Linked DNA regions of Nothobranchius furzeri. The protein of the gene in region 2 purifies or fractionates together with the protein of the main gene of each other region. This does not show direct contact. Links are inferred from orthologs where the notes say so. Each region holds a gene or a part of one and is shown on either strand. Other genes may lie near its edges.

Region 1 (4,119 bases), on a different chromosome or scaffold from region 2:
CACACACACACACACACACACACACACACACACACACACACACACACACACACACACACACACACACACACACACGGGACTGTCTCAGCTGTTATTTTCGTTAAGGAGTGTGCACGTACCGCATGCACGCCTCATGCACGAGCCTACTATTGAAGCTGCCGTTACGCTTTTGGTCTGAGGGGGCAATAAAAATTCAAGACTCCGTAAAGTCCCTTTAAACCAAGGTCTATAGCTCTTGGGTCATAAACTATGAGCTATAAGTATATTGGTCTTTTTATACTGGGAATCAGGAGTTATTTTAGCGATCATCTTGTTTCTTATTTATTTTTGTCCTGATTATGCCCCGAGCAATTTATTGACAGAATAACAACAAATAAAATCAACATAAATTGAAAAATCGTCTTAAATAATCGAGATCTCAATTTCAGTCACAATAATCGTGATTATTATTTTTGCCATAATCGAGCAGCCCTACCTACAGTTGAAGTGGTAGCAGCTAATGCAGTGGCTTGGTAGCAGTGGATTGGTGAGACCGACAACCAGATGGTCCAATCGTTGGTTTCAGATCGAGCCGTGTTATTGGCTGAGGTTTTCAGACAAATGAGCACCACTCGTTTTTTTTTTATTGAAAACTAAATATTTATAGCTATATTATGTTAGAACGTTAAGAGGCATGAAAATATGTCTTAGCTAGCTTGTTCTGCAGATTTGCCATTGTAGCTTTAATTAGGACTGAAAGGTGCCCACATGAGTGATAAAAGAACTAAATTGCAAATAAAATAAAACAATCTTTTTAAAATATTTTGAGACAGCAGCAATTCAGTGTGATTCCAAGTGAAAATGAGCAGTAAGTGTTGAAATTTTTTGTCTGCAACGATTTGCCCAAGTTGTTCCCAGTGAAACTCGACTAACTACCAGATACATAATTTATTTTATCCACTTTAATGACAATACTTCAGGATCACAGCATTTACTTAATTCACTGCATGTTCAGCTCCACCCTGGTGGATTTTCATCTACACCTATGTGGCTTTTATTTAGATTAATCCTTGTTCCAGTAACTTATAACACTGAATTCCCTGCAGGAATGTAATTTTCGATTTTATTGGTTTTATGTAACTTTCAGAATAAGGCTAGGCTCAACAAGGATGTGCCTAACTTTTAACTGGCTCTACTAAAGAGATATCTTAAGATCTCCATAAATGAGTGTTTCTTCTTGGAAGCTCTATTGTCTATTTTTCTTCATTTTTAAGTGCTGAAGGTTATGGTGATAGCCTAGTGCCTATGTTTATTTAACTGTATTATATGTTTATATTTCTCCAAGTGCATGTGTTGCCTTAACAAGTGAATTTCCCCACTGTGGGACTAATACACTCATTTCTATTCTATTCTAAATAATAGTGAATATCGGCACAACATATTGGCCAACCATTGTATCTGGTCTATCTCTAGTTGGGTCCCTAAAAGTGGATTGCAATGCACAAAGCTGGGGTACTGGCATGGTCTCCCAGAGTAAAAACATAACTACAAATTATTCTTATTCAGCACAATTCATGCAAGAACCCAAACCAACACTCAGAAATAGATCTAAGCAGTACATTATATATATTTCAACATCCTCCTGTTCAATCATCTCTTCAGCCATATCTGTAGTCCAACCAGTGATGCTTGAGATCATAAGTCCTAGTCATTTGCTCTTTAAGGGGTCAGTAGCTATTTGGGAATCGCTTGAATTGATGTCAAAGTGGATAAATCTGAAGCGGACCTCTCGGATTTAAACTCCTGCAAGGCTTTATTTCTTGTTTTATAAACGCCGCGCAGATGCAGCTGTTGGGTTTACTCATCTTATTTGTAGTTGTTTACGACTGTAGTTATGGAGGACCGGCCGGAATGTGTTGTTTACATTGGTCGGAGGGAAATCTGCCGCGTAATACTCACAGGGTGACTGTTCTGTTGGGGAAGGAATCCGGGGCTAACACCTGTTCGAGCTCCATGTTGCTGCAGACCACTTTCCGGTCGGACGGCAGGCTTTTCCCGCTGCCTTTCGGCCGCTCGTCTGATGTTTTGCAGGCGGACTGAGCCGCGGAGCCGCTCAGCAGCAGCAGCAGCACCAGCCAGCACGTCCTCATTTTCACACAGAAAACGACTGCAGCATTTGCAAAAAACGAAGAACGGCGTGGTATCAATCCCGATGGTATAGTTAGTGGAAGGGCTCCAAGCGATGGAAAAGGGAAATCTCTGCCAGCGGTGTGATGTTTGGCTCAAGTGATCCTTCCTCTTCCATTTCTCTCACTCCGACCTTATTTGTTTCGCCAGGGGCTCATTTATAATTCCATCTCGGTGTGGCGTAGACCCAGCAACACTTAATAACCACGCACATTTAGTTTAAAAGGCTCAATTTGGTTGCTAGCTAGCATTCCCAGTCTTTGTTGCCCCTACTAGCTTGTGTCCAGGTCGCGTTGTTGTCTTTTCCACGGGAGTCGGCTGCAGTCATTCCAGGTTATCAGCTTCCAACTTCAGGAAATACCTTCTGGCGTCTTCTTGCTTACTTTAACTCCACTGTATTTTGGACTGCGAACTAAACCAAACAAATATATACCCGAGTACATTTATCCACCGACAGTCGCAGGAAATTACTTTAACAAAAAAGCCCGAAAACAAAAGAAATGTCCTAGCTAGTTCGGTAACGCTTCAAAATGTGAAAAATAAACAAAAGACGACGAATTTATATCCCGAATAGTTACTGTTGTAATGTAGTTGTCATTAAAATGTACTTAAAAGCATCTCAAAACTTGTCTAAAGTTAACTCCTCTAGTGGTCGTCCTCCTGTCCCCGGTGTTAAGCTGAATTGTGTCATTAAAGCTAGTTGGATCACAACCACATCCGGGTGGACTTTCAAAATAACACTGCTGAGATTTTATTTAATGTAACTGGAATACTATCAAAATAAAAGGCAATTCAGGGTTCTGTTTAGGTTTCAGACAACTGCAAAAACAAAACTGTAATTTTTAGCTTCAAATTTTTAAATAATGTGACAACCTTAAAGCAGTTTGTTTTAAAATCAAATTTAAAATACACGAATAAAACTAGATTTAATGGAAAAGTAAATACAAAAACGATCGATAAATGACCTACACTTTTAGAAGGTGCCTTTCAGAGTCAGAGGTCTCCAGTGTGTCACACTACAGTGTATCATTCATTCATTCACACAACTGGTGATGAGCTATACTGTAGCCACAGCTGCCCTGCATGAGGCACAATGACAGAGGCCAGGCTGCCAAGCACTGGTGCCACCGGCCCCTCTGAGCACCACTAGCAGGCAAGGTTAAGTGTCTTGCCCAAGGACACAACAGCAAAAATTTCAGCCAGGAGTCAGGATCAATCTTACAACCCCCCGATTATTGGACAACCCGCTCTACCTCCTGTGCTCCTGCTGTCCATAATATAAAGTCTGAGCAGTTACAGTAGAAAGAGCAGCATAAGCAACAATCCTTCAAAGGCAGATGACTAAAGTAAAGTTTTAAATTTAGATTTAAATTTAGTCACTAGAGCTGTGGTTTTTCTTTTATGATACATTTGTATAACCAAGCTCAAGGTGCAGTGATGAACGCTGCATGATATAGTGAGTTCAGTAAAAGAGAAGCATGCATGGGGACAATGTTACCATAGTCCAGCACAGAGAGGAATTGACTTTGCAGAATTTTCTCTCTGGCTGCAGAGGGCATGCATTCTTTGCAAACAAAAAACCCATTTTTTTAAAGGCACCTCTCCATGCCTTGTTTTAGAATAGAAGAAAACTAATCCTTTATTCTCCCACCCTCAGTGAGGAATTTTTTTATGTAACAGCAGCAACGTAGATTCACAACAAGAATAAAAAATAAAAAGATAAAAAACGTATACTAAATAAAAGACAATATATGTAAAATAAAAAATTAAAGGTTGAATAAAAATTCAATAGAAGGATCACGTTAGGAATTAGGAGTGAGAAAAAGTTTAAAAAAAAAAGTAGGAAATTACTGTATGACCAGGTTCAGTACCAAAAAAAATTGGATTGGATTTAGTTAAATTCAATTCAGTTTATTTATATAGCGCCAAATCACGACAAGAGTCGAGTTGATG
Region 2 (3,652 bases):
TGGGTGAAATAAAAAGGACAGGCATAGGGATGTTTGGGCTGGGGTAACTGGACACGCAAAGAGCAGGAAGAGTCACTGTGAATTTAGAACATCTCCAAATGACTCATCAAGACCAGGCTTCTCACATGGAGACGCATTACAGGATGCAACATGATTTATTGCTGTTGTTTACTCATTAGTAAATTAGGATCTATAGCAATAATCTGATGTGTGAGGCATGCCAGATTTGTGTGTGTGTGTGTGTGTGTGTGTGTGTGTGTGTGTGTGTGTGTGTGTGTGTTGTAACAAAGCTATTTTTAACACTAACTGATAACGAATGACCTGTTTGATTAAGTAGCACCAAGGTTATGATAGAAAGCCATTAAGCAAGTAGTACAGTACGGTAGTAAGGACATTCACACTTTCAAAGATCCCTGTGTGGACATCTGATTTTGTGTAAAAGTCTTGAGTAACCGCTTTCCAATCAGACACCACAGTGGTTATACCTGACAAACGAGCCACTCCAAAGCATAATGCTGTGTTTTAAAAATGGCTCCAGTCTTCGATAGATTTACAGTAATTCATAAAAACATGTTTCATAACTTTTACCCAGGTGTTCATCAATAAAACAGTCTAAACACCACATTCAATCATTTTTCCCCAACATGTGTGCATTGGTCTCTAGCAGAAGTGAATGACTTGTGAGTCCATCTCTGTGGGGGAAAAAGCTCCGGTGCCCCCGTTTCAGGAGGTAGAAGTGAGCTGAAGATGGAAGGATTTGGAGCCTTACTTCCTGATCATCTTACTTCTGATTGGGTTTTTCTCAGTTTCAGTATTTGTAAACTGTGAAGACGGGTGAGTCCTTGAATGCTGTGAACACAACTCTAAATGAGATGAATAGCAAGAGACTGTCAGCTGTTTGATTCGTTTCCAACAGCAGCTGAGCGGAGGAGCTGCCTGCTCCAGTGTACACTGGGACTTGTAGTTTTCGTGGTTTCTGGACATCTGTAGGTCAGATTTAATACACGTTCATCCTAATTGTTAAGTGAGGGACATGGGGCATGCAGGCCTGGAGAGCTGATAAGATTTATAAAACATTTTAACACAAGTCTCTACAAAACCCAGAACACAGGTGGTTCAGGAATCCATTTACACAGAAACACTCTTCAAAATGCCCTTTAAAGCAAAATACCTCTGCTGACAGCAAGTTATTTCCAGTGATGAGTGAGAAAAAAAATACATTTGAGTCCCTTTCACCTGCAACTAATCCAAACGCCAGCAGAGGGCAGCCTGAAGCTGCAAATGATGTTCAAGAAAAAGGAGGAAAAAAAAACAACTTCATTTCTCACTTGATCTGTGACCTCAGTTATCTGATGAGAGGCAGGTGAACTAATGAAGCATGATTCTGTTAGCAACAACCCTGTTTACACTGGAGGGGGGGGGGGGGGGGGCACTTTGTGGCTGACGGGCAACAACTCCTGCAGAAAGGATAACGGCACCAAAAGTTCCCAATAAGTTCCCCTGATAAACTCCCTGACATCGGTTATAAAACCAAAACGCTGACATTCAGGATTAAAAATGATCTTGAGGAAAAAGCAAATGATGTTCCAATTCATTTTACTTTGTGGTGAAGGTTATATTATTTTGTGTACAAACCAAACTGGTAATGACGGGGTAGGATCGTATACGCTTATACTCAGGGTCCGAAATTAAATGTTTTACTCACCGGCCAAGTTGGCCGGTAGATGATGAAAATCTACCTGCCAAGCATATTTTTTACCGGTCAAAATCCTAAATGATTTAGATCTACCTAAAGCATGTAATTCTATATTATGTTGATTCCAAACAGAGTGACAAAATAATTAAAACATCAATTAATAAGAAAAACAACTATTTTGTCATTTTTACTATTTATTTATTTATTTTTAGAGATGTTTTTATGAACTCTTTCATTGAAATCTAGTCAGACTCCTTGTTTTCTCTGTCCATGAAGTCTGGCCTCCTGCTTCTGACACCGTCTTTGTGCCAAAGCATTACAGCCTCATTTGGGTCCTAGTCCTTGATCTCTGGAGAACACAGCTGCACCATGAGAACATCTGAAAGTGTGTCAGGGCTAGGGTTGCCACGGTAACCGGTGTAGCGGTAAACCCCGGTAAAAAAGTTGACAATAATAATAACCGTCTTGTTTTTAAAAAAAATATATATATTATCTCGGTGGATTACCGTGGCTGCGGTGTAGGCGCGATGACCCTTACCAGCCACCGTATCATCTGGAAGTTGCCGGCGGCACATGCGCACTTTGTTGTTTACGACCAAAACTTTCTTTAAGCTAAAGCTGAAATAATGGCAGGAGGAGACGGCAGCACTCGGGACATTTATTATCCCTCAAAGAAGACAAATTCGGAAGTACGGGCATTTTTTGGATATTTGAAGAATGCCGAGGGACAGTTGTCTGTGAAAGGCAGCAACGCTACGTGGCCATCATAATGTAGCCATTGTCTCACGACTCCGCCATCTCCAGTTCGCCACTTTTCACAAAATCTTCTGGTTGCCACTGGTCCTGGTGGCTTTTCTTCCAGTTCGACGAGTTTTCCTTTGGAAGGCTGGCTGACTCCAGTTAAAAACCGCCACATTTCACCGCTAGTTTTAACATGAAGCTAACTGCTAACTTGATAAACTGATTGAATGGGATAGGTGGAAATGACGTTGGATGCTGCGCTCACGTTTCGCGTACGTTTGTGTACGTTGCATGCAGCGGGAGGAGTATCAGAGATCCATGGAAGATGACTGATAAACATAACTAATTTGGTGCAAACATTTACTCGCCAAATGGAGCAATTTACTCGCATTTGGCGAGTGTTAATTTCGGACCCTGCTTATACTTCTCCCTACTCCCTTTTGGACACGTACATGGTAACGGTATAATATCTCCTTGAAGTGACTGGAGATGTGGACACAAAAGTGTCTAAAGTTTATGGCTTGCTTTGTTGGTGAGACCGAGGATGTGCATGTCACAAAATAAAATAAATAAATGAAAATGAAATGTTGCTCATATTTAGCTCCAAGCATAACTGTGTTACATGCTAACCTTTTCTAGGATTGCATCAAATTAGCGTTGATCACATCCACCCAGTTTCAGCATAGAAGACTGCTTTATTTAACATGAATTGCTGCCTGATGCAAAGCACATGGTGAAGTCATTCACTCATCGCCTAGACACTTAACGGGTCACAGGACCGGAGCAACTTCAAGAGCTGTGCTTCTTCTTACAGTCTTATGATACCAATACACCTAAATAGATTATTCAGTCATGTATGAGGCTCAAAAAAGCATCTGCAAGATGTGATTTAGCATCAGGTTTAATGGTTTTAACAAAAGTGAGAGTGGGAAGATAAAAAAAAGTCTTACTGGTGACGGAAGCTGCATTGTTAGGAGTGTCGGCCCTCAGGTACTGTGTGGTCTGTGTGGATGGTTGAGACAGACCCTGTGAACTTCCACTGTCGCTCACACTGACACACAACACACAGAACCAGAGAGAATCAGGAGCAGTTCACAGCTAATAAAAAAAAACGAACAACCAGACAAGAAATTGGTCCAACCTGTCTTCCATCTCCACTCTCTTCACGCTGTGAAGGTGGAGGATGGCCAGGATGATGGCAACAAGAAAGATGAC

The links. Proteins that work in one complex are often made in the same cells at the same time.
Region 1: the proteins of ryk (region 2) and adgra3 purify together in Homo sapiens (affinity purification with mass spectrometry; 3 studies listed by BioGRID and IntAct, with this or other methods). This does not show direct contact. The link is inferred for Nothobranchius furzeri from reciprocal best matches to the Homo sapiens genes RYK and ADGRA3.

The regions. Positions count from the first base shown.
Region 1 is NC_091742.1:70,968,373-70,972,491, forward strand, and holds the start of adgra3 (adhesion G protein-coupled receptor A3), read right to left. Parts: upstream 2,850-4,119; 5' UTR 2,130-2,849; coding exon 1,939-2,129; intron 1-1,938. UniProt on the Homo sapiens protein: Orphan receptor that may have a role in planar cell polarity pathway.
Region 2 is NC_091756.1:60,550,182-60,553,833, reverse strand, and holds part of ryk (tyrosine-protein kinase RYK), read right to left. Parts: coding exon 3,579-3,652; intron 3,489-3,578; coding exon 3,388-3,488; intron 1-3,387. UniProt on the Homo sapiens protein: May be a coreceptor along with FZD8 of Wnt proteins, such as WNT1, WNT3, WNT3A and WNT5A. Involved in neuron differentiation, axon guidance, corpus callosum establishment and neurite outgrowth.